Stegostoma tigrinum: one gene and its partners. The protein of the gene in region 2 binds, or shares a complex with, the protein of the main gene of each other region. Links are inferred from orthologs where the notes say so. Each region holds a gene or a part of one and is shown on either strand. Other genes may lie near its edges.

The links.
Region 1: the proteins of cell cycle checkpoint control protein RAD9A-like (region 2) and hus1 are in contact, whole or in part, in a crystal structure (PDB 3GGR), measured with the Homo sapiens proteins. The link is inferred for Stegostoma tigrinum from reciprocal best matches to the Homo sapiens genes RAD9A and HUS1. Residues at the interface, in NP_004575.1 of Homo sapiens: Leu157, Pro158, Pro161, Val176, Ala186, Lys191, Ala192, Met193, Val194, Thr195, Glu196, Met197, Cys198, Leu199, Gly200, Asp203; in NP_004498.1 of Homo sapiens: Thr84, Asn87, Arg90, Ala91, Lys93, Thr94, Phe110, Ser121, Ser123, Ser126, Arg127, Ile128, Val129, Thr130, His131, Asp132, Ile133, Pro134, Ile135.
Region 3: the proteins of cell cycle checkpoint control protein RAD9A-like (region 2) and rad1 are in contact, whole or in part, in a crystal structure (PDB 3GGR), measured with the Homo sapiens proteins. The link is inferred for Stegostoma tigrinum from reciprocal best matches to the Homo sapiens genes RAD9A and RAD1. Residues at the interface, in NP_004575.1 of Homo sapiens: Leu76, Ser82, Val83, Ser86, Leu90, Lys92, Leu112, Phe116, Gly117, Val118, Arg119, Lys120, Thr121, His122, Asn123, Leu124; in NP_002844.1 of Homo sapiens: Glu165, Ala166, Ser168, Glu169, Asn195, Ala196, Gly197, Ser198, Ser199, His200, Leu201, Asp202, Tyr203, Pro204, Asp206, Ser207, Glu211.

What each region holds. Positions count from the first base shown.
Region 1 is NC_081355.1:94,445,249-94,456,110, reverse strand, and holds the start of hus1 (checkpoint protein HUS1), read right to left. Parts: upstream 4,753-10,862; 5' UTR 4,711-4,752; coding exon 4,659-4,710; intron 1-4,658. UniProt on the Homo sapiens protein: Component of the 9-1-1 cell-cycle checkpoint response complex that plays a major role in DNA repair. The 9-1-1 complex is recruited to DNA lesion upon damage by the RAD17-replication factor C (RFC) clamp loader complex.
Region 2 is NC_081399.1:1,876,848-1,887,629, reverse strand, and holds the start of cell cycle checkpoint control protein RAD9A-like, read right to left. Parts: upstream 3,913-10,782; 5' UTR 3,899-3,912; coding exon 3,838-3,898; intron 2,061-3,837; coding exon 1,990-2,060; intron 1-1,989. UniProt on the Homo sapiens protein: Component of the 9-1-1 cell-cycle checkpoint response complex that plays a major role in DNA repair. The 9-1-1 complex is recruited to DNA lesion upon damage by the RAD17-replication factor C (RFC) clamp loader complex.
Region 3 is NC_081369.1:67,980,357-67,990,206, reverse strand, and holds the start of rad1 (cell cycle checkpoint protein RAD1), read right to left. Parts: upstream 4,675-9,850; 5' UTR 4,074-4,674; coding exon 3,882-4,073; intron 1-3,881. UniProt on the Homo sapiens protein: Component of the 9-1-1 cell-cycle checkpoint response complex that plays a major role in DNA repair. The 9-1-1 complex is recruited to DNA lesion upon damage by the RAD17-replication factor C (RFC) clamp loader complex.

The DNA of each region.
Region 1 (10,862 bases), on a different chromosome or scaffold from region 2:
TCTCAATGATGGAAGAGCCAAACAGATCTTTAAGAGAGATAAGGCTGAAGACATGTACGAATATTTTCAGCAAGAGTCCAGTGAATGATCCAGCTTGTACTCTTCCTGAGATCCCCAGCATCAAAAATGACAGTCTTCAGCCAACTTGATTCATTTGACAAAATATGGAGAAAACTCAAGCCTGCAAAGGCTATGGGTGCTAACCACATAGCAGCAATAGTACTGAAGATTTATGCTTCAACAATAAGCTGCCAGCTAAGCCAACAGCACTGGCATCGAATGAAAACTATAAAAAATTCCCAGATACGTCTGTCCATAAAAAGAAGGACAAATCAAACCTGGCCAACTGCTACCCAATCAGTCTTTTCTGATCAACAAAGTGACAAAAAGTGCTATTAATCGCACTATTAAGCAGCAGTTACTGCATCATTACTTGCTCATTCATGCTCAGTTTGCTGCCCACTTGGGCCACACAACACCTGACCAAATTCCAGCCTTGGTCCAAACATGCACAAATAACCAAACTTAAAAGGTGGGGTGAAGGTGACTATCCTTGATAACAAGGCAACATTTGACCAAGTATCAAGGAGCATCAACAAAACTGGACTCAATGGGATGCAGGGTATGACTCCTTGCAGTTTCCACTGCATGCAGTCATACCTAACACAAATGTTTGAGCTTCTTAAAAGTCATTTGTTTCAGTCCTTGGGCTCCCCTGCAGGAGTTTCTCAGGGTCATCTCCTAGGACCAACCATTTTCAGTTGCTTAGTTCTCATTGTCATAATGTCAGAAGTAGAAATGTTTGCAGATAATTGCACAACGTTTAGCAGCATTCAAGACTCCTCAGGTACTTTTTTAAAACTCATTCATGAAGTATGGAATTTTGCTGGCTGGTCCAGCATTTATTTCCCATCCCCAACTGCCCAGACAGGAATGAAAAGTCAACCAAATTGTAGGTCTGTCGTCACATGTAGGCCAGATCTGGTCAGGATGACAGGCTTCCTGCCCTAAAACACATTGGTAAACCAGATGGGTTTTTATGACAATGGATGCCATTAGACTAGCCTTATTTTAAATTCCAGTTGTCTTTTATTGAATCAAATTTCACCATTTGCCAGGGCGGGATTTTAAAGCATGTCACCAGAGAATAAGGTGGGAGCTCTGGATTACTAGTCCTGTTGCATTATCACTACACTACCAACCCTCCCGGATGGAAGCATTGGATAATCAAGCAATGATACCTGGACAATATCCAGGTTGGGCTGATAAATTGTAAGCCACACTTGTCCCTTACAAGAGCCAAACAATGATCATTTCCAATAAAACAGAATCTGACTGTTACCCCCATGACATTCAACGACATTACCATTGCTGAATCCTCTATGAACTTCCTGGAGGTTATCATTGCTCAGAAGCTGAACTGGAATAGCTAAATACATACAGTGGTTACAAGCACAAGTCAAAACTTCAATGGCAAGCATCTTATCATCTGACTCCTGAAAGTGTCCATTATCTACAAGGCTCAAGTCAGAATTGTGGAGAGGTACTCTCCACTTGCCTCGAAGTGTGCCACTCCAGCAGCCTTCAAAAAACTTGACATGAACGAGGACAAAGCAGCCCACTTTATTGGCAACACATCCACCACCTTCAACATTCATTCCTCTAGCTCCAGCATACAGTGGCAACAGTGTGCACCATTGACAAGATGCATTGCATAAATTTACTAAGGTTCTTTCAATAACACTTCTGAAACTTACAACCATGTAAAACAAATGCATGCGAGCAACACAACCTGAAACTTCCCTTCCAAACCATGTATCATCCTGACTTGGAACTATATCACCATTCCTTCATTGTCACTGGATCAAAATCCTGGAATTCCCTTCCTTACAGCACTGTGGTGTACCCTTCCGTGACTGCAGCAATTAAAGAAGGAAACGCAACACCACCTTTCTTCCCCCACAATGAGGGACTGGCAATAAATGCCCAGCCAGCAATAGCCAGATCGAACAAATAAACTAAAAATAAGCAACTCCATTTTTCTGCCTGCTCCCCACAAATCTCGATTCCCTATTAATCAATGTGTCAAATTAAACTTCGCATTTATTCAATGATCCACCCTCCATTTATTGCTAGGGAAGAGAATTCCAAACACGAATGGTCCTCAGTGAAAAAATTCTTACTCATTTCCTTCTGAAATAGGAGATTCCCTGTTTTTAATTTAAGCCTTTTAGCTCTGGATTCCCTCAAGAGAGGAAGACTTCTCTCAGGATCTACTTTGTCAAATTTCCTTAGAAACATACATCTCTCATTTTTCTAAACTACAATGAGAAAAAGGCCAATCTGCTGACCCCAAATGCATTTCTGTCCTTTCTTGCAGAAAGAGACCAAAAATTAATTTCATTTTACAATAGAAACAAAGCCTTTATTATTGTTTCTGGTAAATTTATCACCTATTAAAAGTTTGAGTGAAGAAGTGCAGTAACTCTCCAATCATTTCAGACGTAGTCTAGCTGTACCTGCAGGCTGACTTTCCACAATTGTGTACAATGGCACCACGATCCTTCTGTTCTGCAACATCCTGCTGTCTTCAAGACGGTAAGATGTTGAAGTTGAAGTAGGCCATTCAGTTTATGGAGTCTGCTCTGCCATTCAATGAGATCGTGGCTGATCTCACTCTAAACACCACTTTTCCGCCTTTTCCCCATAAATTGGATTCTCTTTTTCCCCTTATATAAAGTTTTAACGTTCTATTCTTTTTGCCAAAGTGGAAATGTCACTTACAGTGCGGAACAACGTTGCAGGTTACAGAGGGACATAGATAAGCTGCAGAGCTGGGCTGAGAGGTGGCAAATGGAGTTTAATGCGGAAAAGTGTGAGGTGATTCACTTTGGAAGGAATAACAGGAATAGAGAGTACTGGGCCAATTGGTATGATTCTTGGTAGTGTGGATGAGCAGAGAGATCTCGGTGTCCATGTGCATAGATCCCTGAAAGTTGCAAACAGGTTCATAGGGTTGTTAAGAAGGTGTACAGTGTTTTAGGTTTCATTGGTAGAGGGATTGGGTTTCGGAGCCATGAGGTCATGTTGCAGCTGTACTAAACTCTGGTGTGGCCACGCTTGAAGTAGTGCGTACAGTTCTGGTCACTGCATTATAGGAAGGATGTGGAAATATTGGAAAGGGTGCAGAAGAGCTTTACCAGGATGTTGCCTGGTATGGAGTCTTATGAGGAAAGGCTGAGGGACTTGAGGCTGTTAAAAGGCGACTTAATAGAGACATACAAGATGATCAGAGGATTAGATAGGGTGGACAGTGAGAGCCTTTTTCCTCGGCTAGCACGAGGGGACGTAGCTTTAAATTGAGGAGTGATAGATATAGGACAGATGTCAGAGGTAGGTTCTTTACTCAGAGGGAAGTAAGGGCATGGAATGCCCTGCTTGCATCAGTAGTAGACTCGCCATCTTTAAGGGCCTTTAAATGGTCATTGGATAAACACATGGATGAGAATGGAATAGTGTAGGTGAGATGGGCTTCAGATTGGTTTCACAGTTCAGCGCAACATCAAGGCCGAAGGGCCTGTTCTGCGCTGTAATGTTCTATGTCATGTTTTCCCAAATGTATTCCATCTGTCAAATTTTGTTCACTTATTTAAATACACTTTTTTTAAAGACTCCTTGTATCTTTATATTTTCAGCAAATTTATGTTTTGTTCACAAGTTGTGGGCATTGCTGGCTAGTTAAGTATTTATTGCCCATCACAAATTTCCCTTATTTTTGAGATTGCGTGATGTGCAATTAGTTGTCCACTTTCCTTTATGATAATGCTACACCATTGGAAAACAGCAAAATAGCATACACTTCCATGTCATCTTGTCATAATAATAATTTGCATCTGTTTTACTCAAATATAGAAAGGGTACATACTTGTCATAATGGTATCAAATATTTGCCTATGTTTTGAGACAGGTATCTAAAAGGCAAGTTACTTTATGGAATTTCATTATTGGGTGGATTTCCAGGAGCTGAAGGGGTTTCAGAGAGGGTTCAAGACGTTTAAAAGCCATCAACAAAGGTGAAATTGAGGGAGTATGTAAAGAGGTGGGAAAATACAAAACCGACAAAAGTTTGAGCCGCTGGAGAAAAAGCACAAAACGTCTCTCAGCCAAAAACAGAGTTTTAAAACCTGGTTTGGTAATGAGTGACCAGAAAGTGCAGCGAATGGATTGTGGGGTAATTTATAACTCATCTACAGAACAAGGTTGGAGTTTTAAAAAAATGAAGATGTGAAGGAAAATGTGAATAGGGCTTCAGTGACAGTAACAGTAACGGACTTATGGACAAGTCTTGAAACAGAACTGGGTGAATTTGAAAAAAGATTGAAACAGAACTGGGTGAATTTGAAAAAAGATTGAACAAGAGGTCATTGCAGCATCCACACGAGCTGTACCCTGACCAAAAAAGGAAAAGAGATAACAAGGTGTAGAGCTGGATGAACACAGCAGGCCAAGCAGCGTCATAGCAGCATGATGTTGCTCCTATCATACTGCTTGGTCTGCTGTGTTCATCCAGCTCTACAGCTTGTTAACTCAGATTCTCCAGCAGCTGCAGTTCCGACTATCCAAGAAAGGAAAAGACCGGCTTCATCTTACTGACTTACGGGTAAAATGATTTAAGCAACCAACATCAACGATCTTCCCTCTAAACTTCATCCTTGCGTCGACCGGATATAGAATGAGCTCGTCAACGCGCGACATCACTTCCGCTCCGACTGGACGCCGCTTGGTTACCACGACAACAGCCAAGGGCCAAGATGGTTTGGAGGGAAAGGGGCGGTCTCCTGTACTCGAGAGGAAGGTCACTTGGTTACCCGGGTAAGGGGCGAGGACTCGTCTCCTGTGCGCCAGGGAGGGTAGGGCTGGATGGTGAATAGACACCTGAGCACCAGGAGCAGTGTGGATGATGTAACATAGTGTGGAGGTGGAGGAACACAGCAAACCAGGCAGCATCAGAGGAGCAAGAAAGGTGACCTTTCAGGTCGGGACTTTTTCTGCAGAAGGGTCCAGACCCGAAACATCAACTTTCCTGTTCCTCTGATGTTGCTTGGCCAGCTATGTTCCTCCAACTCCACACTCTGTGATCTCTGACTCCAGCATCGGCAGTTCTTACTATCTCTGCGGTGTGGATGCTGGTTGTCTGGATGGGTTGCAGGGCATAATGATGCCACCTGTAGGTTGCAGGAACAGGAACTCATATTCCACTTGGGAACCCTGCAGCCCAATGGCATCAGTGTGGATTTCAAGATAACAAAGTGTGAAGCTGGATGAACACAGCAGGCCAAGCAGCACCTCAGGAGCACAAAAGCTGACATTTCGGGCCTAGACCCTTCATCAGAGGGCCCTCTCTGATGAAGGTTCTAGGCCCGAAATGTCAGCTTTTGTGCTCCTGAGATGCTGCTTGGCCTGCTGTGTTCATCCAGCTTCACACTTTGTTATCTTGGATTCTCCAGCATCTGCAGTTCACATCATCTCAGTGTGGATTTCACCAGCTTTAAAATCTCCCCTCCCCCCACTGCATCCCAAAACCACTCCAGCTCGTCGCCACCTTCCTAACCTGTTCTTCCTCTCATCTGTCTGCTCCTCCCACCTCAAGTAGCACCTCCATTTTCTACCTACTAACCTCATCCCGCCCCCTTGACCTGTCCATCCTCCCCAGACAGACCTATCCCCTCCCTACCTTCCTCCACCCCCATACTCTCCTCTCCACCTATCCTCTCCTGTATCCATCTTCGGTCTGCCTCCCCCCACTCCCTATTTATTTCAGAATCCTCTCCCCATCCCCCTTTTCTGATGAAGGGTCTCGGCCCGAACCATCAGCTTTTGTGCTCCTAAGATGCTGCTTGGCCTGCTGTGTTCATCCAGGTCCACACTTTGTTATCTTGGATCCAAGGGAAGGTCATTTCATCAAGTTGTAGCATGTGCATAAATAATGTCAGAGGAGGGAATGGGTAGACTGAGGAAAGGGACCCAAGGCTGGGTTTCTTAGGAGTCTTTAAGGTGAAAATTCAGTAAACCGAAGGAAAAGAATTTCGAACTGACAAACGAGCAGTGCTCCAGAAGTTGTGATTTCAGATAAACCTGGTGGACTACAGTCTGCTAAAGTGTGACTTCTGACAGTGCAACAGAGAAGCTTTACACAAGCTGGGAGAACAACACCTCATTTTTTGCTTGGGAACCTGGCAATCTTCTGGACTCAATATCAATTTTAGTAATTTTAGGGCCTGAGCTCCTCCCCTGTCCCAACTCAAAGCCCATGCTTTGTCATCACATGAGCTGCTATCACAAACAACCCATTGTCAGTCACTAATAGTTCCCCTATACGGCTATTCATTCTCCCAGGCTGATCTTTATCCATTCTGTTGTCTACTCAACAATATTTCTCTTTCTCTCTGCACTCTATCTCCATTTGTGGTTTACTCCTTCCCCTTCCCTAACCCCTAACCCCTTGTTTAGTATATATACCAACATTTTCCCAGCTACAATAATTCTAAAGAAGTGCTACTGGACCTGAAATGCTTCTCTCCACAGTTGTTGCCAGACCTGTTGAGTGTCAACAGCAATTTCTGCTTTTGTTTTTGGTGAATGATGATCTTTTTTGACAGGCAAGATTGAAACCACTGATTGCAATTTATTGGATCTGCAGCAGAGAGAGACAAAAGTGTAGTGTGAATGCCATACACAGGGAGATACATGAGGGCATATTTGGTCCATGAGAATCACATTACAGCTGGTGTTGACTCATGTCACTTTGAATTGATAATAATCCTTTCAATGTTGTAAAAAGCTCCGGGCACCATAATCAACTAAAAACTGAAACCCAACCAAGCAAAGGCAATGCGGTGGCTCAGTGGTTAGCACTGCAGCCTCACAGTGCCAGGGACCCGGGTTCAATTCCAGCCTCGGGTAACTGTCTGTGTGGAGTTTGCACATTGTCCCCGTGTCTGTGTGGGTTTCCTCCGGGTGCTCCGGTTTCCTCCCACAGTCCAAAGATATGCAGGCTAGGTGGATCAGCCGTGCTAAATTGCCTGTAGTGTTCCGGGTTGTGTGGGTTATAGGGGGATGGGTCTGGGTGGGATGCTTCAAGGGGTGACGTGGACTTGTTGTGCCAAAGGGCCTGTTTCCACACTGTAGGGAATCTAATCTAATCTAACCAAAAGCTTGGTCACAGAGATGGCTTTACAAACTGCCTTATAGAAGGTTAGGGTATAGATGCAAAGAGGTTTATGGAGGAAATTTCAAATATCAGCAGTTGATCGTTGAAGAAATGGCTGTCCATGGTGAGTTGAAGGAATAACCAATGCACAGAAGAACAAAATTTTACGTGGAAAAGCCACATTCAATTTGAGATGAAAAAATAACATGCAGTGAAAGACTGAATAACATTCAGTTGACTACACAGGATGGATTGCAATGCCGACCTCATGTAATGTTTATGTCAAATGTGTGAACATAGTGGTAGAAGAGCAAAATGATTGAAATTCTTTGGAGGTCTGACAGCATCTGTGGAATGCTGAAAAATAATGTGACCAGACTGGTACATTGGTAACCCAAAGGTCTGTGAATTGATCTGCTGCATCAATGACAACTTTTTTGTAAATCATTCTGTGTTCAAGAAATGATGTAAGGATATACCCAGGAACTATTGACCATTCCAATTTAATGTTTCTGGTAGGAAAGGTTTATGAGGTGATTATTCAAAACAAAACTGGCAGACACTTAGATAAGTGCAGAATTGTTAGGAAAGCTGGAATGGATTTGTTCAAGGCAAGTTATATTTCACTAACTTGATCAAGGTGAAAAAAGTGTTGATATTGTGTGAGTAACCTACCAATTGCTTAGATAGGACATGGAAAGAAAGAGGTTGTGCTAAGGGAATATGAATAACGAGAGACAAAATTAAATCGAAAAACTGCAAAGCTAACTGCTGAATTACTACCTGAGGCACAAGCAAATTGGCATATGTTAAAATCAAAAAGAATGTGTGGCTGAAAAAATGGGTTTAAATTCTGAAGGCACTGACACCAGCAGTGCAGAAAACAGAAACTGTAATACTGGGTATAATGGGAACTGCAGATGCTGGAGAATCCAAGATCATAAAGTGTGAAGCTGGATGAACACAGCAGGCCAAGCAGCATCTCAGGAGCACAAAAGCTGATGTTTCAGGCCTAGACCCTTCAACAGACAGGGGGATGGGGTGAGGGTTCTGGAATAAATAGGGAGAGAGGGGGAAGCGGACGGAAGATGGAGAGAAAAGAAGACAGGTGGAGAGGAGCGTATAGGTGGGGAGGTATGGAGGCGATAGGTCAGTCCAGGGAAGACAGACAGGTCAAGGAGGTGGGATGAGGTTAGTAGGTAGGAAATGGAGGTGCGGCTTGGGGTCGGAGGAAGGGATGGGTGAGAGGAGGAACAGGTTAGGGAGGCAGAGACAGGCTGGGCTGGTTTTGGGATGCAGTGGGTGGAGGGAAAGAGCTGGGCTGGTTGTGTGATTGCGAACCGAGCAGAGGTGTTCTGCAAAGCGGTCCCCAAGCCTCCGCTTGGTTCCCCAATCATCCAGTTCATCCAGCTTCACACTTTATTATACTGTAATACTGAGACTGGCTTTGCTTAAGTCATTCTGGAGCCAGTGACCCGAAAAACTGAATGACTAGGACTTTAGAGAGGACTTGAAATAATAGTACGAATGATGGTAATCAGAGTGTGACAGGAAAAACACAATATATATAAGTTGCAGGGTACTAGAAATTGGAAACAGAGTAAGGATAAATGGAATGACGGCACAATGGGTAGCATGGTGGCTCAGTGGGTATCATTGCTGCCTCGCAGTGCCTGTGACCTATGTTCAATTCCAACCTCAGTGACTATCTCTTTCGTAAAGAGGTAAGTTTTGGAAAATAGAAATCTCATCAGGTCTCATGGAGAGGAGCCATCCATGAAGCATGATAAAATTGACACAATGCTTATTTCTGCTGAATTTCAACAATTTCAAACTCTGTGCACAAAGTTCTTTTATATTTATTTTAGGGAACGATTGGATGACATTGAGAAAATGTCGGAAACCATTATCAAAGGACGAATTGCAGGATATTTAGCTAACTATAACAAGCAGGTAGAGTCAAAATAGTCATGAGAAAGGGAAATTGTGTTGCACAAATTTATGACGGTCTTTGAGGATGAAACAAGCAGAGTAGATAAAGTAAATTTGGATTTCCTGTGTTTTTATACTTGATGATCTGTGACAATAAATTCCAGTTATAATTCATAAGAGTGGGTTTGGTAATTAAAGAGTTGAATTTGCTAACTCAGCCTCACTGCAACAAACCCGCAGGTGCAGCGCATGGTAAAGAAGGCAAATGGTATGTTGACCTTCATTGCGAGAGGTTTTGAGTACAGGAGCAGCCTTGTTGTCGCAGTTATACAGGGCCTTGGTGAGGCCACACCTCGAATGTTGTGCAGTTTTGGCCTCCTTTTCTGAGGAAGGATGCTCTTGCTCCCAAGGAAGTGCAGAAAAGGTTTGCCATGCTGATTCCAGGGATAAAAATGAAAAGAAGTGCAGATGCTGTAAATCAGGCATAAAACAGGGGTTGCTTGAAATGCTCAGCAGGTCTGGTATCATCTGTGAAGAAAAAAATCAGAGTTAACGTTTCAGGTCCAGACAGAAGGAAGGGTCACCAGATCCAAAACGTTAACTCTGAATTTTTCTTTACAGGTGCTGTCAGACCAGCTGAGCTTCTCCAGCAACTTCTGTTTCTCTTTTGATTCCAGGGATGGTGGGTCAAACATATGAGGAGAGTTTGACCTGGTTGGGATTGTTTCACAAGAGTTCCAATGAATGAGTTGGAATATCATAGACACTTATAAAATTCTAACAGTCCTGGACAAGGTCGATGCAAGGAGGATGTTCCTGCTGGTGGGTGTGTCCAGAACCAGGGATCACAGTATGAAGATTTGGGGTCGATCATTTAGGACAGAGATGAGAAGTTATTTCTTACCCAAAGAGTGGTGAGCCTGTGGAATTCATTATCACAGGACGTGGTTGATGCCACAACATTGACTGGATTCAAGAAGCAACTAGATAGAGCACTAGGGGTAAATGAAATAAAAGGTTATGGTGAGAAAGCATCAGCCACAATCGTGAAGAATGGCGGAGCAGGCTCAAAGGGCCAAATGGTCTATTCCTGCTCCTATTTTCCATCTTTTTATGTTTCTCCAAAACTCAACACAACTTGGACTTCGTCAAAAATTGTACGATTCAGCCCAATGTATTAAATACATAGGCAACTTGCCATAGCAATCAAATTTGATGCATGTCCACTTTGATCGCAACATTTGTTTTCCTGTCTTGCTCTTGACAGAGTATCCATTATAATCTTGTTTCTTTCCGATCTGTAAATTATTTTCAAATTATATGGTTGCAGTATTAATGCCTACACATATGATCATTTTCCTATGTGTAACTGTGTGAGATATCAAAGGTCTCCCCATAACTACCATGTCCTGGACCTTTGGTGTTAGATGTTCCCTTAAATAAATCTTGTCCATGACTGGAATACTACTTTGGAATTCTTCTGTAATTATGATTTTCATTACTTGCTGCACACTACTCTCAATTTCAGTAACCAAAATCACAGTTCCCACAGATCCTTTTTTCTTGCAAATTCTAAACATGTCTCATATCTTAACTAATTGAAACAGTGATGTGTCAATTTCAAATTTCTCTCCCTTCAACTCTGAATGCTGTGTAGTTACATCAAGTACCTGAACTTTCTGAGATCCTGCTTTTACTTACACCCCAACTTATCCACTGA
Region 2 (10,782 bases):
TCTCTCTCAGTGTGATATCTGTACACTGACTGGTGTCTCTCAGTCCACCCTCTCTCTCTCTCAGGGAGATATCTGTACACTGACTGGTGTCTCTCAGTCCCCTCTCTCTCAGGGAGATATCTGTACACTGACTGGTGTCTCTCAGTCCCCTCTCTCTCAGGGAGGTATCTGTACACTGACTAGTGTCTCTCAGTCCTCTCTCTCTCAGGGAGATATCTGTACACTGACTAGTGTCTCTCAGTCCCCCCTCTCTCTCAGGGAGGTATCTGTACACTGACTGGTGTCTCTCAGTCCCCCCCCTCTCTCTCTCAGGGAGATATCTGTACACTGACTGGTGGCTCTCAGTCCCCTCTCTCTCAGGGAGATATCTGTACACTGACTGGTGTCTCTCAGTCCCCCCTCTCTCTCAGGGAGATATCTGTACACTGACTGGTGTCTCTCAGTCCCCTCTCTCTCTCTCTCAGGGAGATATCTGTACACTGACTGGTGTCTCTCAGTTCCCCCCCTCTCTCTCTCAGTGTGATATCTGTACACTGACTGGTGTCTCTCAGTCCCCCCTCTCTCTCTCTCAGGGAGATATCTGTACACTGACTGGTGTCACTCATTCCCCCCTCTCTCTCTCTCAGGGAGATACCTGTACACTGACTGGTGTCTCTCAGTCCCCTCTCTCTCAGGGAGATACCTGTACACTGACTGGTGTCTCTCAGTCCCCTCTCTCTCAGGGAGATATCTGTACACTGACTGGTGTCTCTCAGTCCCCTCTCTCTCAGGGAGATATCTGTACACTGACTGGTGTCTCTCAGTCCCTCTCTCTCTCTCAGGGAGATATCTGTACACTGACTGGTGTCTCTCAGTCCCTCTCTCTCAGGGAGATATCTGTACACTGACTGGTGTCTCTCAGTCCCTCTCTCTCTCTCAGGGAGATATCTGTACACTGACTGGTGTCTCTCAGTCCCTCTCTCTCTCTCAGGAAGATATCTGTACACTGACTGATGTCACTCATTCCCCCCTCTCTCTCTCTCTCTCAGGAAGATATCTGTACACTGACTGGTGTCTCTCAGTCCCCCCCCTCTCTCTCTCAGGGAGATATCTGTACACTGACTGGTGTCTCTCAGTCCCCTCTCTCTCAGGGAGATATCTGTACACTGACTGGTGTCTCTCAGTCCCCCCTCTCTCTCTCAGGGAGGTATCTGTACACTGAATGGTGTCTCTCAGTCCCCTCTCTCTCTCTGTGGGAGATATCTGTACACTGACTGGTGTCTCTCAGTCCCCCCTCTCTCTCAGGGAGATATCTGTACACTGACTGGTGTCTCTCAGTCCCCCCTCTCTCTCTCAGGGAGATATCTGTACACTGACTGGTGTCTCTCAGTCCCCTCTCTCTCTCAGGGAGATATCTGTACCTGACTGGAGTCTCTCAGTCCCCCCTCTCTCTCTCAGGGAGATTTCTGTACCATGACTGGTGTCTCTCAGTCCCCCCTCTCTCTCTCAGGGAGATTTCTGTACCATGACTGGTGTCTCTCAGTCCCCCCTCTCTCTCTCAGGGAGATATCTGTACACTGACTGGTGTCTCTCAGTCCCCTCTCTCTCTCTCTCAGGGAGATATCTGTACACTGACTGGTGTCTCTCAGTCCCCCCTCTCTCTCTCAGGGAGATATCTGTACACTGACTGGTGTCTCTCAGTACCCCCTCTCTCTCTCTCTCTCAGGGAGATATCTGTACACTGACTGGTGTCTCTCAGTTCCCCCTCTCTCTCTCTCAGGGAGATATCTGTACACTGGCTGGTGTCTCTCAGTCCCCTCTCTCTCTCTCAGGGAGATATCTGTACACTGACTGGTGTCCCTCAGTCCCCTCTCTCTCTCTCAGGGAGATATCTGTACACTGACTGGTGTCTCTCAGTCCCCTCTCTCTCTCTCAGAGAGATATCTGTACACTGACTGGTGTGTCAGCTCTCCACTTCTTGCTTTCATCTTTCCATGCAATAATACTCACTCCTTCATCGAATGCCTCAAGGTAACAGTCTTCACCAATCCGCGAGAGTGCGTGTATTGCTCTCCCAATAACTAAATCCAGAAAATATTCACAAAATAAGTTTATCAATGACAGAGCATTACGTCCAATTAAGCACTGTAAGTCATCAGCGCATGTTATTCAGTGCTGAGGGAGCGCCACACTGTCGGAGGGTCCGTGCTGAGGGAGCGGGCACTGTCGGAGGGTCAGTGCTGAGGGAGCGGGCACTGTCGGAGGGGTCAGCGCTGAGGGAGTGGGCACTGTCGGAGGGGTCAGCGCTGAGGGAGCGGGCACTGTCGGAGGGGTCAGCGCTGAGGGAGCGGGCACTGTCGGGGGCGTCAGCGCTGAGGGAGCGGGCACTGTCGGGGGCGTCAGCGCTGAGGGAGCGGGCACTGTCGGGGGCGTCAGCGCTGAGGGAGCGGGCACTGTCGGGGGGTCAGTGCTGAGGGAGCGGGCGCTGTCGGAGGGTCAGTTACTGGGAACATAATCAGAAATTGCTGGAAAAGCTCAGCAGGTCCAGCAGCGTCAGTGAAGCTGTAGTATCCGGTGACTCTTCCTCAGAAACAAGAACATAGACACGGTCAGATCTGCTGAGCTTTTCCAGCGATTTGTGTGTTTGTTCCCAGTCACCGACACCTGACCTTGTGGCCTCTCTCGGCAGGGCTTCTGGAGTTTTATTTCTGCAATTGCTGGCACTTCAGTCTCGCGGGTAGACAATGAGGCAACAGTGTAAACCTTGAGGGGTCGGGGCGGAGGGGGACTGAGGGGTCGGGGCGGAGGGGGACTGAGGGGTCGGGGCGGAGGGGGACTGAGGGGGACAGGGGGGTCAGGGCGGAGGGGGACTGAGGGGGACTGAGGGGTCGGGGCGGAGGGGGACTGAGGGGTCGGGGCGGAGGGGGACTGAGGGGTCGGGGCGGAGGGGGACTGAGGGGTCGGGGCGGAGGGGGACTGAGGGGTCGGGGCGGAGGGGGACTGAGGGGTCGGGGCGGAGGGGGACTGAGGGGTCGGGGCGGAGGGGGACTGAGGGGGACAGGGGGGTCAGGGCGGAGGGGGGCTGAGAGGGACTGAGGGGTCAGGGCGGAGGGGGATTGAGGGGGACTGAGGGGTCAGGGCGGAGGGGGACTGAGGGGTCGGGGCGGAGGGGGACTGAGGGGTCGGGGCGGAGGGGGACTGAGGGGTCGGGGCGGAGGGGGGCTGAGGGGTCGGGGCGGAGGGGGGCTGAGGGGTCGGGGCGGAGGGGGGCTGAGGGGTCGGGGCGGAGGGGGGCTGAGGGGGACAGGGGGGTCAGGGCGGAGGGGGACTGAGGGGTCAGGGCGGAGGGGGACTGAGGGGTCGGGGCGGAGGGGGACTGAGGGGTCAGGAGGAGTGAGGGGGAGGGGCTTAGGTTCAGGGAAAGGGGACAGACAGGGTGAGGGTCAGTGGGAGGAGTCAGGGTAAGGGAGTGAGGGGTCAGGGGTCAGTGGGAGGGGTCAGGGTAAGGGCGTGAGGTCAGTGGGAGGTGTCAGGGTAAGGGAGTGAGGGGTCAGGGGTCAGTGGGAGGGGTCAGGGTAAGGGCGTGAGGTCAGTGGGACGAGTCAGGGTAAGGGAGTGAGGGGTCAGGGGTCAGTGGGAGGGGTCAGGGTAAGGGCGTGAGGTCAGTGGGACGAGTCAGGGTAAGGCAGTGAGGGGTCAGTGGGAGGAGTCAGGGTAAGGCAGTGAGGGGTCAGTGGGAGGAGTCAGTGAGAGGGTGAGGGGGCGAGGGGTCAGTGGGAGGAGTCAGCGTGAGGCAGTGAGAGGGTGAGGGGTGAGGGGCTAAGGGTTAAGATTATGTCTCCCCTCCCCCCGCCATACCGCTCACGTTGCCGCCTGTCACCACGAACCGCATCCTCGACCCGAACGCTTCCTCTCCCATATACCGCTCTCCTATTGGCTGAGCCCACCACAATTCATCCTCAAACAAAACGCCCTGCCATTGGCCGGACCTAAATCCGCCCCGCAGGCCCAGTACCCGGATGTGCCACTATTTAAAAGGCCCCGCCCGCCCCGCAGGCTCTTAAAGCCGACACACCCTAAGATTTGATTTAAAAGGTGTCGACCAAAATTCCATAAAAGGGGGAACCACTCTGCAATTGTGTTTCATCATTTGGCCATTCGGCCCGTCGAGTTCCTACCATGATAAAGCACCTTAATGCTGAGTAAAACTACAAATACAATACTTTCAAGTTTACTGACTCTGCACCATAGGCCAGGCAAGTAATAGGGTCCATCAGGAGAACATTTTCTAGGTAACGAGGGGTGGAGCTGGAGGAACACAGGCCCAAGCAGCATGTCAGGAGCCCAAATGCTGACATCTCAGGTCTTGGCCCGAAACGTCAGCCTTCCTGCCCCTCTGATGCTGCTGGGCCTGTTGTGTTCCACCAGTTCCACACCGTGTTATCTCAGATTCTCCAGCATCGGCAGTTCCCACTGTCTCTGATACAACATTTCCTAGCTTCCACCTTTCATTGAAACATAGCAGGAACCAACACAGACAGGCCACTCAGTGTATCACACCTCCTCCACCAGTCAATATGATCATGCCTGAGAAGTAAGCTCCATGACTGCTCACGTTTACCACCCCCCATTTCCCTCAAAACCATGAGACACAAGAGATACATCAAACACCTTCTTGAAACATCTAATGTTCCGGAGTAAATTCCACCGGCACATCACTCTGTGTCGATGGACATAACAGGATTTCCCATCATTTCCCCCCAAAATTGCATTTTCCGTCAGAGTCTGCACAGCGATAGATTCTCTAGTTTCCTCAAATACACCACACCGTGCACAGTTCCAGTCTCTATATCCCTCAGTCAGACCCACACTGGGAGCACCGCGCACAGTTCCGGTCTCTATGTCCCTCAGTTAGTCCCACACTGGGAGCACGGTGCACAGTTCCAGTCTCTATATCTCTCAGTCAGACCCACACTGGGAGCACTGTGCACAGTTCCAGTCTCTATATCCCTCAGTTTGACCCACACTGGGAGCACTGTGCACAGTTCCTGTCTCTGTATCTGTTGGTTAGTCTTCATAGAGAGAAGGGACATTCGTCAGTGTGCAGATATTTCCCTGAGAGACAGAGAGAGAGAGAGAGAGAGAGCGGGGGGAACTGAGAGACGCCGTTCAATGTGCAGATATCTCCCTGAGAGAGAGAGAGGGGACTGAGAGACACCAGTCGGTGTACAGATATCTCCCTGAGAGAGAGAGAGGGGACTGAGAGACACCAGTCAGTGTACAGACATCTCCCTGAGAGAGAGAGGGGGTTACTGAGAGACACCAGTCAGTGTACAGATATCTCCCTGAGAGAGAGAGGGGGTTACTGAGAGACACCAGTCAGTGTACAGACATCTCCCTGAGAGAGAGAGGGGGTTACTGAGAGACACCAGTCAGTGTACAGATATCTCCCTGAGAGAGAGAGAGAGGGGGGACTGAGAGACACCAGTCAGTGTACAGATATCTCCCTGAGAGAGGGGAGACTGAGAGACACCAGTCAGTGTACAGATATCTCCCTGAGAGAGGGGGGAGTGAGAGACACCAGTCAGTGTACAGATATCTCCCTAAGAGAGAGAGAGAGAGAGGGGACTGAGAGACACAAGTCAGTGTACAGATATCTCCCTGAGAGAGTGTGATAACTAGAGGTGTATTAATCCTCCTGCTGTTTCTGTCTCAAATCTGTAACTTGCCCAGTCTGAGTGTCGAAGTGAAATGTTTGTGGAATACTGAACCTCATGTTCAGGGATTCTGATCTTGATTGAAAACTGCTGGTGTCATTACAGTTTCAAATGGTGACTGGCATTGCACCAGCCTGACATCCTAGCTCTGGGCAGTGCCTGCCTTTTAAGCTGTCTCATTGATAGATTCCATCATTACACTATTAACACACCCCGTCAGGTTTACTTTGACAGAGGGATGGAGTGACCGAGGTAACAGGTTTTGCTCATTCTGACCTGCTCTGAAGAGAAAGGGCCCACTTCCAGATGCTGTGCTGGGCTTTGTCCAGTAGATGGGAGCAGAAGATAATGCAGCTTTCCCTGTCTCCGTGTGAATCCAATCCCTGAGCAATTGGTTACCACACTCTCGCTTGTAGTCACTCAGGAGCATGGGCATCTCTGTCTGGGCCCAGCATTTATTGCTCCGTCCCTAGTTGCCCCCCTTGAGAAGGTGGGGGTGAGCTGCCTTGAACCGCTGCAGTCCGTGGGTGTTCCTTAGGGAGGGAATTCCAGGGATTCTGACCCAGCGACACTGAAGGAACGGGGGTATATTTCCGAGTCAGGATGAGGGGTGGCTCTGAGGGGAACTTGCAGGGGGTGGGGGTCCCATGTACCTGCTGCCCCTTGTCCTTCTGGATGGAAGTGTTTGTGGTGTGAATGTTGGCACACTGTTACATATCAAGGACCAGGAGATCACACACAACTCACGAACTCCTCATGCAGCGAGGAACCTCGGGATGGGGAAAGGTCTGCATCAAGGGCTTTTCTTTGTGGGGTGCCACCATGGGGCAACTGGGGCTGGGTCAGAGATCTGGGTGAAGTCAAGTGATGGGGAAAAGGCATATGGGTTTCTAGAGCTTTGTCCGTCCCCTCGGAGCTGTCGGGGCTGGACTGTGAGAAGTGGACAGGACAACAGAATCAATTGTAAATTGGAGCGCTGGGATGGAGTCACTGCTGACATGGGCTATGGGACGGTTGTGGACGAGCGGTTATGGACTTGAGCTGTGTGTTGAGTGTTATGATACAGACTGGCTGTGAACCAGCTACATGGCCTCCTGCTGTCCCCCTGTGTAACAGGCTGGGGAAGGGGCTGATGGCCTCCTGCTGTCCCCCTGTGTAACAGGCCGTGGAAGGGGCTGAATGGCCTCCTGCTGTCCCCCTGTGTAACAGGCTGGGGAAGGGGCTGAATGGCCTCCTGCTGTCCCCCTGTGTAACAGGCCAGGGAAGGGGCTGAATGGCCTCCTGCTGTTCCGCTGTGTAACAGGTTGGGGAAGGGGCTGAATGGCCTCCTGCTGTCCCCCCTGTGTATCTGGCTGGGGAAGGGGCTGAATGGCCTCCTGCTGTCCCCCTGTGTAACAGGCTGGGGAAGGGGCTGAATGTTAAATATAAATGATTTACGCTTGAATGTAGGAGGTTGATACAAAAAATGGATGGGATAGTGAGGAGTGAGGAGGTTATCCTGAGATGTCGGGGGGGACATAGACGGGTCGGTCCAATGGGCTGGTCAGTGGAAAATGCAATTCATTCTGGATATGCCTGAGGGGGTGCACTCGGGTAGAACAAATGAGGCTAGGGAATACACAATTAATTGAGGATCAGAGGGACGACAATTTACTCTGGTCCTTTATGGGGGCAGAACAGTTAGATAAAGTGGTTCAGAAGCAAAAAGGATACATGCCTTTAATCAGCCAAGGTGCAGAGTTTAAGATCAGAGAGGAGATGTTGACAATGTCTAAAATATTGACCAAAATAAAACAATGAATCATGGATGCGTAAGCCTGAAACAAAAGTAGAAGCAGCTGCAGAAAGTCTGCAGGTCTGGTAGCATCTTTGGGGGAGAGACAGGGTTGAGGTTTCAGGTTCAGTACTGACAACAGCTTGGAAAAAGTTGGCTCGTTTACTGAAGTTGGGGAGCAGTAAATGTGAGCTGGAGATGGAGCTCAAACGGTTTGGGTAGATAAACGAATGGGTTATGTGGTGGGAATCGGGAACTCACTGCTTGTAAGAGTGGGAGGGGCAGAAATCCTCAGGACGTTGAAGAGCTGGGTGGCACGGTGGCTCAGTGGTGAGCACAGCAGCCTCACAGCACCAGGGACCCGAGTTCGATTCCAGCCTTGGGCAACTGTCTGTGTGGAGTTTGCGTATTCTCCCTGTGTGCGTGGGTTTCCTCCGGGTGCTCCGATTTCTTCCCACAGTCCAAAGATGGGCAGGCTGTGTGGATCGGCCATGCCAAATTGCCCCGAGTGTTCAGGGGTGTGTGGGTTGTAGGGGGATGGGGCTGGGTGGGATGCTTCAAGGGGCAGTGTGGGCTTGTTGGACCGCAGGGCCTATACCCACACAGTAGGGCATCTAATCTATTTCGATGTGCACTTGTGATGACAACACTACGGGCGTGAGCTGGGATAAAGGATGAGAGAGTTTAAAGGTGGTTGTTTGAGCTGGCACAGACTTAATGGGTCAAAGGGCCTTTTCTGGCAAAGTAAATCTCCAAGAACATATGACCCTAAAGGACTCCTCCAGTCCCTGTGTAACAGGATCACAAAACGGCTGCATGGTCTCCGACGGTTCCTGTTCTTTCACCTTAAAGGGCTGATGCATTCAAATATGATTCTAGTCTCTATATCCCTCAGTCAGACCCACATTGGGAGCACCGTGCACAGTTCCTGTCTCTGTATCCCTCAGTCAGACCCACACTGGGATCACTGTGCACAGTTCCTGTCTCTATATCCCTCAGTCAGACCCACACTGGGATCACTGTGCACAGTTCCTGTCTCTATATCCCTCAGTTAGACCCACACTGGGATCACTGTGCACAGTTCCGGTCTCTATATCCCTCAGTTAGACCCACACTGGGAGCACCGTGCACAGTTCCGGTCTCTATATCCCTCAGTCAGACCCACACAGGGATCACCGTGCACAGTTCCTGTCTCTGTATCCCTCAGTTAGACCCACACTGGGAGCACCGTGCACAGTTCCAGTCTCTGTATCCCTCAGTTAGACCCACACTGGGAGCACCGTGCACAGTTCCGGTCTCTATATCCCTCAGTCAGACCCACACTGGGATCACTGTGCACAGTTCCTGTCTCTATATCCCTCAGTCAGACCCACACTGGGAGCACTGTGTACAGTTCCGGTCTCTATATCCCTCAGTTAGACCCACACTGGGATCACTGTGCACAGTTCCTGTCTCTATATCCCTCAGTTGGACCCACACAGGGATCACCGTGCACAGTTCCTGTCTCTGTATCCCCCAGTTAGACCCACACTGGGAGCACCGTGCACAGTTCCAGTCTCTGTATCCCTCAGTTAGACCCACACTGGGAGCACCATGCACAGTTCCGGTCTCTATATCCCTCAGTCAGACCCACACTGGGATCACTGTGCACAGTTCCTGTCTCTATATCCCTCAGTCAGACCCACACCGGGAGCACTGTGCACAGTTCCTGTCTCTGTATCCCTCAGTTAGACCCACACTGGGATCACTGTGCACAGTTCCTGTCTCTATATCCCTCAGTTGGACCCACACAGGGATCACCGTGCACAGTTCCTGTCTCTGTATCCCTCAGTTAGACCCACACTGGGATCACCGTGCACAGTTCCGGTCTCTATATCCCTCAGTCAGACCCACACTGGGAGCACCGTGCACAGTTCCTGTCTCTGTATCCCTCAGTTAGACCCACACTGGGATCACTGTGCACAGTTCCTGTCTCTATATCCCTCAGTTAGACCCACACTGGGAGCACCGTGCACAGTTCCGGTCTCTATATCCCTCAGTCAGACCCACACCGGGAGCACCGTGCACAGTTCCTGTCTCTGTATCCCTCAGTTAGACCCACACTGGGATCACTGTGCACAGTTCCTGTCTCTATATCCCTCAGTTAGACCCACACTGGGAGCACCGTGCACAGTTCCGGTCTCTATGTCCCTCAGTCAGACCCACACTGGGAGCACCGTGCACAGTTCCGGTCTCTCTATCCCTCAGTTAGACCCACACTGGGAATGTGGTGAAGAAGACCAATACAGAATGGTAATATACATACACATCAGAAAGTCAGTGCTGAGGGAGTGGGCACTGTCGGAGGGTCAGTGCTGAGAGAGTGGGCACTGTCGGATGGTCAGTGCTGAGGGAGCATGCACTGTCGGAGGGTCAGTGCTGAGAGAGTGGGCACTGTCGGAGGGTCAGTGCTGAGGGAGTGGGCGCTGTCGGAGGGTCATTGCTGACGGAGCAGGCACTGTTGGAGGGTCAGTACTGAATGATGCCTTGCTGGAATGTTGCTGTATTTGTTGGATCTTGCTGCATGCTAGCTGGCTCTTTTGACCTGTACAAATTCTCAGTGAGTATGCATTCAAAAAGCACAAAGCAGCCCCCGCTCGATTGGCACCACATCCACAAACATCCCACTCCCCCCCTCCCCCCACCAACGCTCAGTCACAGCAGTGTGTACAATCTACAAGATGCTCTGCAGAGATTCACCAAAGACCCTCAGGCAGCACCTTCCAAACCCATGACCCACTTCCATCCAGAAGGACAAGGGGAAGCAGGTACATGGGACCCCTGCCCCCTGCAAGTTCCCCTCCGAGCCACTCTCATCCTGGCTCGGAAATATACCCCCGTTCCTTCAGTCCCGTCAGGTCAGAATCCCTGGAATTCCTTCCCTAAGGGACACCCATGGACTGCAGCAGTTCAAGGCAGCTCACCCCCACCTTCTCAAAGGGGGGCAACTAGGGGCAGGGCAATAAATGCTGGGCGAGTCAAAGATATCCACATCCCGATAAGTGAATAAAAGTCTCAAGTAATTTCTTTGTTGTCCTTGAAGCTGTATTTTATAACAAGTGAGAAGTACCTCTGCATTGCTGTGTCTTTCTGACCCTGATGTTTACATTATTAACTCTCAGTAAGGAAGTGATGAGGGCAAGTTGACAAGCTGAAGTCTGCTGTAACAGTGTGTAACACAAGAGATAATTAACCAACAACCTCAGGCTGTTTATTCAGGGTATCATCAATTCTTTTTGAAAAATGAGCTCTAATTATGATGTTCTGGGGTTT
Region 3 (9,850 bases), on a different chromosome or scaffold from region 2:
ACCACTTCACGTTTATCTAAATTAAACTTCATCTGCCACTTCTTGGCCCGTGTGCCCATCTGATCAAGTCCCTTCGTACTCTGAGGTAAATGTCTTCACTGTCCACTAAATCACCAATTGCAAACTTACTAACCTTCCACCAATAACCTCTGCCTCCTACTTTCAATCCAAATTTGTATCCAAATGGCCAGTTCTCCCTGTATTCCACGTGCTTTAACCTTGCTAACCAGTCAAACATAGAGATAACAGGTTAATAAAATGTGAGGCTGGATGAACACAGCAGGCCAAGCAGCATCTCAGGAGCACAAAAGCTGACGTTCGGGCCTAGACCCTTCATCAGAGAGGGGGATGGGATGAGGGTTCTGGAATAAATAGGGAGAGGGGGAGAGGCGGACCGAAGATGGAGAGAAAAGAAGAAGAAAAAAAGACCACCTATCTTCTTGTCTTCTTTTCTCTCCATCTTCGGTCCGCCTCCCCCTCTCTCCCTATTTATTCCAGAACCCTCATCCCATCCCCCTCTCTGATGAAGGGTCTAGGCCCGAACGTCAGCTTTTGTGCTCCTGAGATGCTGCTTGGCCTGCTGTGTTCATCCAGCCTCACATTTTATTATCTTGGATTCTCCAGCATCTGCAGTTCCCATTATCACTCAAACATAGAGATAACGTCCGCCGCTCTGACTTCATCAATCTTCTTCGTCACTTCTTCAAAAAATGCAGTCAAGTTAGCGAGCCATGACTTCCAACATGCAAAGCCATTTTGACTATAGTTAATCAGTCCTTGCCTTTCCAATGTAAACCCTGTCCCTCAGAATCCCCTCCAACAACTCATGATGTCAGGCTCACTGGTTTATAGTTCCCTGACTTTTCATTATCATCTTTCTTAAATAGTGACACTTCATTAGCCAACAAACAGTCTTCTGGCACCTCACCCGTGGCTATCCATGATACAGATATCTCAACAAGGAGGCCAGCAATCACTTCCCTTGCTTCCCACAAACCTCTAGGTACACCCAATTATGTCTCGAGAATTTAACCACGTTTATGCGTTTTAACATGTCCAGCACCACCTCCTCTGTAATATGGAGCGTTTAAGATATCGGTATTTATTTTTCCAAGTTCTCTAGCTTCCATATCCTTTTCCAAAGTAAGTGCTGATGCGAAATATTCATTCAGTATCTCACCTACCTCCTGCAGCTCCACACATCGGCAGCCTTGCTTCTTTTAGGGGCCCTATTCACTCCCTAGTTAATCTTTTGTTCTTAATGTATTTGTAGAGTCCCTTTGGATTCTTCTTAGTCCTACCATGTCTCCTTTCTTCCCATCCTGATTTCCCTCGAGAATACTCCTATTACCCTTATACTCTTACAAGGATTCACTCGATCCCTGCTGTCTATATTTGATAAATAATTTCTTCTTTCTGGGCCTCAACTCTATGGTCATCCAGCAATTCCTCACTTACCAGCGTTGCCCTTCACACTACCGTATTTTTTGAAGGTTTCCCACTTTCCAGACATCCATTTTCCTGTGAATACCCAACCCCCAACATCCCCCAATTAACTGTTGATACTTCTTGCTTAATCAGACTTACTCCAATTTAGTTCTTTAACATTTAGATCAGGTCCAAGCTTTTCCACGACTGTTTTAAAATGAATAGAATTATAATCACTCGGTCCAAACTGCTCCCCCATTGATACCGCAGACACTTGCCCTGCCTTATTTTCCAGGAGAAAGACACATTTGCCTTTTCTCTAGTAGGTACATCCACATACCAAATAAGAAAACTTTCTTGTGTACACTTTACAAATTCCTCTCTGTCCAAGCCCTTAACATGGCAGTCACAATTTATGTCTGGAAAGTTAAATTGCTTTACAGTTACACCCCTATTATTCTTACTGATAACTGAGATCTCGGTACAAATTTCTCAATTTTCCGCTGACGGTTCCTCTGTAGACTCTTTGGTTATCCTCACCTCTTAACTTTCCAAATTCTTTTTTGTATCATCCAAAATCTTGTTGATAATACAATCACTTCCCACATCCAAGTCATTCCTATACAACTACAAAAAATTCCACAGTATCTCTTTTCAGACTCCAGACTCAGCCCCAAACTTGCCACAACTCCTTTCCTTCCCTCTCCCAGGGCCCGGTATCTGCTCTTTCCCCCTTCCTCTGTCCAAAGCCCTTGGCATTTTTACCTCCTCCCCCAGTATCGTCCCATGGCCCCTAAACTCCAGAATTCTCCTTCCCCAACTACCCTGCACTGTATCCTCCACCCTGGATCCTCTCCCACAACCCCAATTCCCCACGCACACTCCCTTTCCCGATCCCCCCCTCATATCCTCCGTAACACCATCCCCGATGAATTCTCACACCTGCCCCCCACCCAGATATTCCCACACTACCCCACCCGCCACCAAACCTCCCTCACACCCTCCCCTGGCACCACCCCTCACAGTGAACCCCCCCACCTCCCAATACCCCTCTCAATCCCTCATACCCTCCCCGACACCACCGCTCACAGTGACCCCCACAACCGCCTCACACCGTTCCCACCTCCCACCTCCCAATCTCCCCTCAATCCCTCACACCCTCCCCCGGCGCCACCCCTCACACTGACCCTCCCAATCCCTCACACCGACCCTCCCAATCCCTCACACCCTCCCCCGGCACCACCCCTCACACTGACCCTCCCAATCCCTCACACCCTCCCCCGGCACCACCCCTCACACTGACCCTCCCAATCCCTCACACCCTCCCCCGGCACCACCCCTCACACTGACCCTCCCAATCCCTCACACCCTCCCCCGGCACCACCCCTCACACTGACCCTCCCAATCCCTCACACCCTCCCCCGGCACCACCCCTCACACTGACCCTCCCAATCCCTCACACCCTCCCCCGGCACCACCCCTCACACTGACCCTCCCAATCCCTCACACCCTCCCCCGGCACCACCCCTCACACTGACCCTCCCAATCCCTCACACCCTCCCCCGGCACCACCCCTCACACTGACCCTCCCAATCCCTCACACCCTCCCCCGGCACCACCCCTCACACTGACCCTCCCAATCCCTCACACCCTCCCCCGGCACCACCCCTCACACTGACCCTCCCAATCCCTCACACCCTCCCCCGGCACCACCCCTCACACTGACCCTCCCAATCCCTCACACCCTCCCCCGGCACCACCCCTCACACTGACCCTCCCAATCCCTCACACCCTCCCCCGGCACCACCCCTCACACTGACCCTCCCAATCCCTCACACCCTACCCCGGCACCACCCCTCACACTGACCCTCCCAATCCCTCACACCCTACCCCGGCACCACCCCTCACACTGACCCTCCCAATCCCTCACACCCTACCCCGGCACCACCCCTCACACTGACCCCCCCAATCCCTCACACCCTCCCCTGGCACCACCCCTCACACTGACCCCCCCAACCCCCCTCACACTGACCCCCCCACCTCCCCTCACACTGACCCCCCCACCTCCCCTCACACTGACCCCCCCACCTCCCAGTCCCCCTTCAATCCTTCACGCCCTCCCCTGACAACCCCTCACACTGACACCCCCCCAAATCCCTCACAACCTCCCCTGACACCCCCCCTCACGCTCTCCCCTGACATCCCCCTCACACTGACCCCCCCAATCCCTCACACCCTCCCCTGACACCCCCCCAATCCCTCACACCCTCCCCTGACACTCCCCCTCACACTGACCCCCCAAATCCCTCACACCGACACCCCAAATCCTTCACACCCTCCCCTGACACCACCCCACTGACACCCCTGAATCCCTCACACCCTCCTCCCAATCCTTCACACCCCACCCCCGACACCCGCCCGATGAACTCTCACACCTCCCACCCCCCCGGTACCTGGATGAACGCGTTCCCCTGGACGCTCTTGGCGGCCTCAGCTGTCACCCTGATGCCGTTAGCGGAGGCGAACACCGTCGCCTGGTCTCGGAAATTAACGGCTTTAAGCAGATTTGACAGATTCCGCACATTTTCTAAACTGGCGACGAGAACAAACCGTTCGGCTCCCGCCTCAGGCCTGGGCTGAGGCATTGCGCCCACGATCGGTAAAACTCCAGGCCCAGGCTTCAGTCACGGTTAGGCCGCAGCTGCTTCCGCGGAGTCTCAGCTCCAGGCAGCAGACAGATACAACAGGTTTGAATTGATGAATAAATCTTCGGCACTTACAGCCAACTAAACCATTCAATCACCATTGAAACCGTAGGAGGCCATTCAGCCCGTTGTGCCTGTGCAACGCTCGGGCTGTCCTTCAGCTTTGTCTGTTCAATTCCCTCCTTTGGCGCCGCGCCCGCCAAACTATCAAACACAACCTGTTGCTGCTGTCAAAATGACCCTCCTCCAGGGATCGTTTATGTCTTCTAACAACTCTCTTAAATCTGTGCAACTCCATCAGCCTCCTGTACCCTAAATAAAACAAACTCAGCCTCCTGTACCCTAAATAAAACAAACTCAACCTGTCCTTCAGAACTGATACTTTTCATTGCAGGCAATATCCTGGTGAATCTCCTCTGTAACCTCTCCAGTGTAGTCATACAAAAAAAGAACAAAGAAAATTACAGCACAAGAACAGGCCCTTCGGCCCTCCAAGCTTTTGCCGATCCCAGATCCTCTGTCTAAACCTGTCACCTATTTTTCACCTATCCCTCTACTCCCTGCCCATTCATGTATCTGTCTAGATACATCTTAAAAGACATTATTGTGTTCGCCTCTACCACCTCCACTGGCAACACGGTCCAGGCACCCACCACCCTCTGCATAAAGAACTTTCCAGACATAGCGCCCTTAAACTTTTCCCCCTCTCACCTTGAAATCATGACCCCTAGAAATTGAATTCCCCACACTGGGAAAAAGTTTCTTGCTATCTATACCTCTCATGATTTTGTAGACCTTGATCAGGTCCCCCTCAAACTCCATCTTTCTAACGTAAACAATCCTAATCTACTCAACCTCTCTTCATAGCTAGCGCCCTCCATACCACGCAACATCCTGGTGAACCTCCTCTGCACCCTCTCCAAAGCATCCACATCCAGGGCTGTTAAGAAGGCATACAGTGTTTTAGCTTTCATTAATAGAGGAATCGAGTTCCGGAACCAAGAGGTTATGCTGCAGCTGTACAAAACTCTGGTGCGGCCACACTTGGAGTATTGCGTACAGTTCTGGTCACCGCATTATAAGAAGGATGTGGAAGCTTTGGAAAGGGTGCAGAGGAGATTTACTAGGATGTTGGCTGGTACGGAGGGAAGGTCTTACGAGGAAAGGCTGAGGGACTTGAGGCTGTTTTCACTAGAGAGAAGAAGGTTGAGAGGTGACTTAATTGAAACATATAAAATAATTAGAGGGTTAGATAGGGTGGATAGGGAGTGCCTTTTTCCTAGGATGGTGACGGCGAGCACGAGGGGGCATAGCTTTAAATTGAGGGGTGAAAGATATAGGACAGATGCCAGAGGTGGTTTCTTTACTCAGAGAGTAGTAAGGGAATGGAACACTTTGCCTGCAACGGTAGTAGATTCGCCAACTTTAGGTACATTTAAGTCTTCATTGGATAAGCATATGGATGTACATGGAATAGTGTAGGTTAGATGGGCTTGAGATCGGTATGACATGTCGGTACAACATTGAGGGCCGAAGGGCCTGTACTGTGCTGTAGTGTTCTGTGTTCTATGTTCTATGTTCTATCCTTTTGGTAATGTGATGAACAGAACTGTACACAGTATTCCAAATGTGGTCGAACCAAAGTCCGAGACAACTGTAACATGACCTGCCAACTCAATACCCCGTCCGATGAATGAAAGCATGCCGTATGCCTTCTTGATCACTCTATCGACCTGCATTGTCATCTTCAGGGTACAATGGACGTGAACACCCAAATCTCTCTTTGCATCAATTTTCCCCAGGACTTTTCCATTTACCGTATAGTTCACTCTTGAATTGGATCTTCCAGAATGCAACACCTCGGATTTGCCTGGATTGAACTCCATCAGCCATTTCTCCATCTAACGTCCAAGCTATCTATATTGTGCCGCATATTCTGACAGCCCCCTTCACTATCTGCTACACCGCCAATCTTAGTGTCATCTGCAAACTTGCTAATCAGGCCATCTGTACCTTCCTCCAGATCATTTATGGAACATTCATCGGTACTGGATATGAAATTTGTTGAGGGCTAGGAAACAGTGATTAATAGCCAGTGGGTATTTCATGGGCTGGAGGACAGCTTGTAATAGAGGTTTTGGGGGCTGAGCATTATAATCATAGAATTTAACACTATAAAAGGAGACCATTTAATCCATTGTGTTTGAACCACATTTTGAAAGAGCCACCCAACTGGTCCCATTTTCCGGGCCCTATCCATGTAACCTTCTAAATTCATCACTTTTATGTGTAGACCCATCTCTCTTTTGAAACCTCCTATCAAATCCACCTACGCTGCACTACCAGGTAGCACATTCCAAATGCTGACAACTCGCTGAGTAAAGACGTTTTTCCTCATTTCACTCCTACCTGGCTTACTGACAATCTTAAAATTGTAACCACTAGTTACTGACATATCAAGTAGTAGAAATAGAATATCCTTCTTTACCCTGTCAAAATTGTTCATAATTTTGAACACCTCAGTAAGGTCACCTCTTAATCTCTGCTCCAAGGAGAATAAGCCCAATTTCTCTATTTTTTTCTAATATCTAAAATCCCTCATTCGTATTACCATTGTAATAAACCTCCTTTGAACTCTCACCAGATGAATAAGCAGTGCTCTGTTTTCAAATAAACATGTTGGACTATAACTTGGTGTCATGTGATTTCTGATTTTGTCCACTCCGGTCCAACACCGGCACGTCCACAGCATGACTTTAACATCCTTCTTTAAATAAGGTATCCAGAACTGAACACAATTTTAAATGTGGTCTTACCAATAATTTGTGGAGGTGTAGCATCACCTCCTTGTTTTTTTTTCAAAATATGATTTATTGGGCAAAGTATCTCAAAAGTACATTCTATGTTGATATTGTTTAATATCATAGTACACAAAGTCTTTTAGTGTTACCATAGTTCAACTGATACCATAAGTAAACAACTCACATCTGGAAACATTGAAATCAATAACACAAAGTGTATGCAGTTAAATAACAATTCTGCTGATAAATAAGATTCCACACGATGATTTTACTTGGTATTGCCTGACTACATAATTCCATATTCCTTGTACACGGATTTCAGTTTTTCCACAGAGATGATGTAATCTATTTTCCCAAAATCAATGGAAATGCCAAGCACTGAAATCTTTTTTTCTCCATTTTGTTGTGATCAATGTTTCCATCCCCCAGGCATTTGTATTCCAGCTCCAGCTCTTCTATTTCAGGGACCAATTTTTCACAAATATTATTGGTGCCCCTCACAATGCCCTTGTATTCCAAGCTGCCCTTCTTGCTAACCCTCATTAGGATGTATTTGAAAACCCTGAGATAACTAGGTGTAGAGCTGGATGAACACAGCAGGCCAAGCAGCATCAGAGGAGCAGGAAGGTTGACGTTTCAGGCCTAGACACTTCTTCATTTTCGAAAAGGTACTAGGCCGGAAACATCAACCTTCCTGCTCCTCTGATGCTACTTGGCCTGCTGTGTTCATCCAGCTCTACACTTGTTATCTCAGATTCTCCTACATCTGCAGTTCCTACTATCTTTGAAAACCCTGTCAGGATATCTCCATGTTGGCCACAGCAGTCGGTTTGACTACGCGTCTTTTTATAAACCCAAGGATCCTATAAATTTTCTTAACAATGATTTCAACTTACCTGGCCACCTTCAGAGAATTTTGTGAACCCCGAAGTCTGTCTGCTCCTGTATTCCCTCAGAGTTGTATCATTGAGCCTGTATTGTCAATTTTTTTTTCTACCAAAATGCATTACTTGACATTTCTCTCCAATGAAATACATCTGCTAAGTGTGAGCCCATTTGGCCAACTTGTCAGCATCCCTCAGGGGTGACACGGCAGCTCATTGGTTAGCACTGCTGTCTCACTGTGCCATGGACGTGGTTTCAATTCCAGCACTGGGCGACTGTATGGAGTTGGCACATTCTCCCATGTCTACATGGATGTGCTCCGGTTTCCTCCCACAGTCCAAAGATTTGCAGGCTAGGTGCAGTTTCCATGCTAAATGCAGGGTCACACAGATAGGATATGGGGGTGGGTCTAGATGGAATGCTTTTCGGAGGGCCATTGTCTCGAAGGGCTGAATGGCCTGCTTCTACACTTATCTTAGTCACTCAGCATCATCCTCACAATTCATTATTCACCCTAGCTTATAATGATTTGCAAATTTAAAGATTTTCCCTCAACATCTATCTTCAAATCATAAATATAAATCAGAAAAAGCAAGGGTTCCAACACCAGTTCCCGGTGATCACCATTTTTAACATGTCTCTGATCTGAAAAATGCCTATCTATTCATACCCTCTTTTTCCTATCTTTTAAACAACTTTGAATCCCTACCATCATGTACCCAATGATCTAAATATAAAAGTCTAAATATACAGCATTAACAAAACTACCCTTATCCTCTGCCTGTGTTACCCTGTCAAAGAAGTTAACTAAATTTGTCAGACATGATCTGCCTTTGACAAAGCCATGTTGATTGCCTAGTATTAGCTTATTTTACTCTAAGCGTGTATTTACTTTATCCCATATTACGGCCTCCATCAGTTTACCTACCACTGATGTCATGCTGACTGGTATGCAGTCCTGGGTTATTATATGCCTGTTTCTTAAACAACAATTGGGTCCTATTCTGATCTTGATACATATAAATAATCTAGATCTAGGTGTTCAGGGTACAATTTCAAAGTTAATAAATGACACAAACCATGGAAGAATGTTAAGCCAATAGGAGGACAATGTAAAAGACAAAAGGCAGTAGACAAGTTGGGTGGAACGGATAGATACTTGATAGATGAAGTTCTGTGTGGAAAAGCACAAGGTGATATATTTTGATACAAAGGACACCAAATGACAGGATATTCTGAAGTGTATGTGTTCTGAAAGGTGTGCAGGAGCAGAGAAACCTGAATGAATAGGCACATAAGTCATCAAAGATACCAGGACAGGTAGAGACAGCTGTTAATAAAGCATTGAGTAGAGTTATACATTTGTACAGCATGGAAACAAACCCCTCAGTCCAACTCATTCAGGCTGACCAAATATCCAATATTAATCTAGTCCCATTTACCAGCATTTTGCCCAGAAGCCTCTAAACCCTTACTATTCATGTACCCATCTAGATACTTTTTAACTATTACAATTGTACCAGCCTCCACTACTTCCTCTGGCACCTCATTCCATAGATGCATCACCCTCTGTGTGAAATAGCTGTTCCTGAGATCCTTTTTATAACTCTTCCCTCTCAAGTTAAACCTATGCTGTAGTGTTTTGGACTCCCCCCGCCCTGGGGAAAAAAACATTGGCTATTCTCCTTGTTCATGCCCTTATTGACTTTATAGAACATAGAACAGTACAGCATAATACAGGCCCTTTTGCCCACAATATTGTGCTGAACTTTTACCCTGAACCTAAGATCTATGTAACCTCCACTGCTACCTTATACTATCATCTATATGCCTTTCTAATAGTTGCTTAAATGCCCATAATGACGCCGACTCCGACCCTCTCCAGCAACGCATTCCACGCCCCTACCACTCTCAATTAGTAGGTAAGAGATGGGGGTGCGGCTTGAGGTGGGAGGAGCGGATAGGTGAGAGGAAGAACACTTTAGGGAGGCAGGGACGAGCTGGGCTGGTTTTGGGACACAGTGGGGGAGG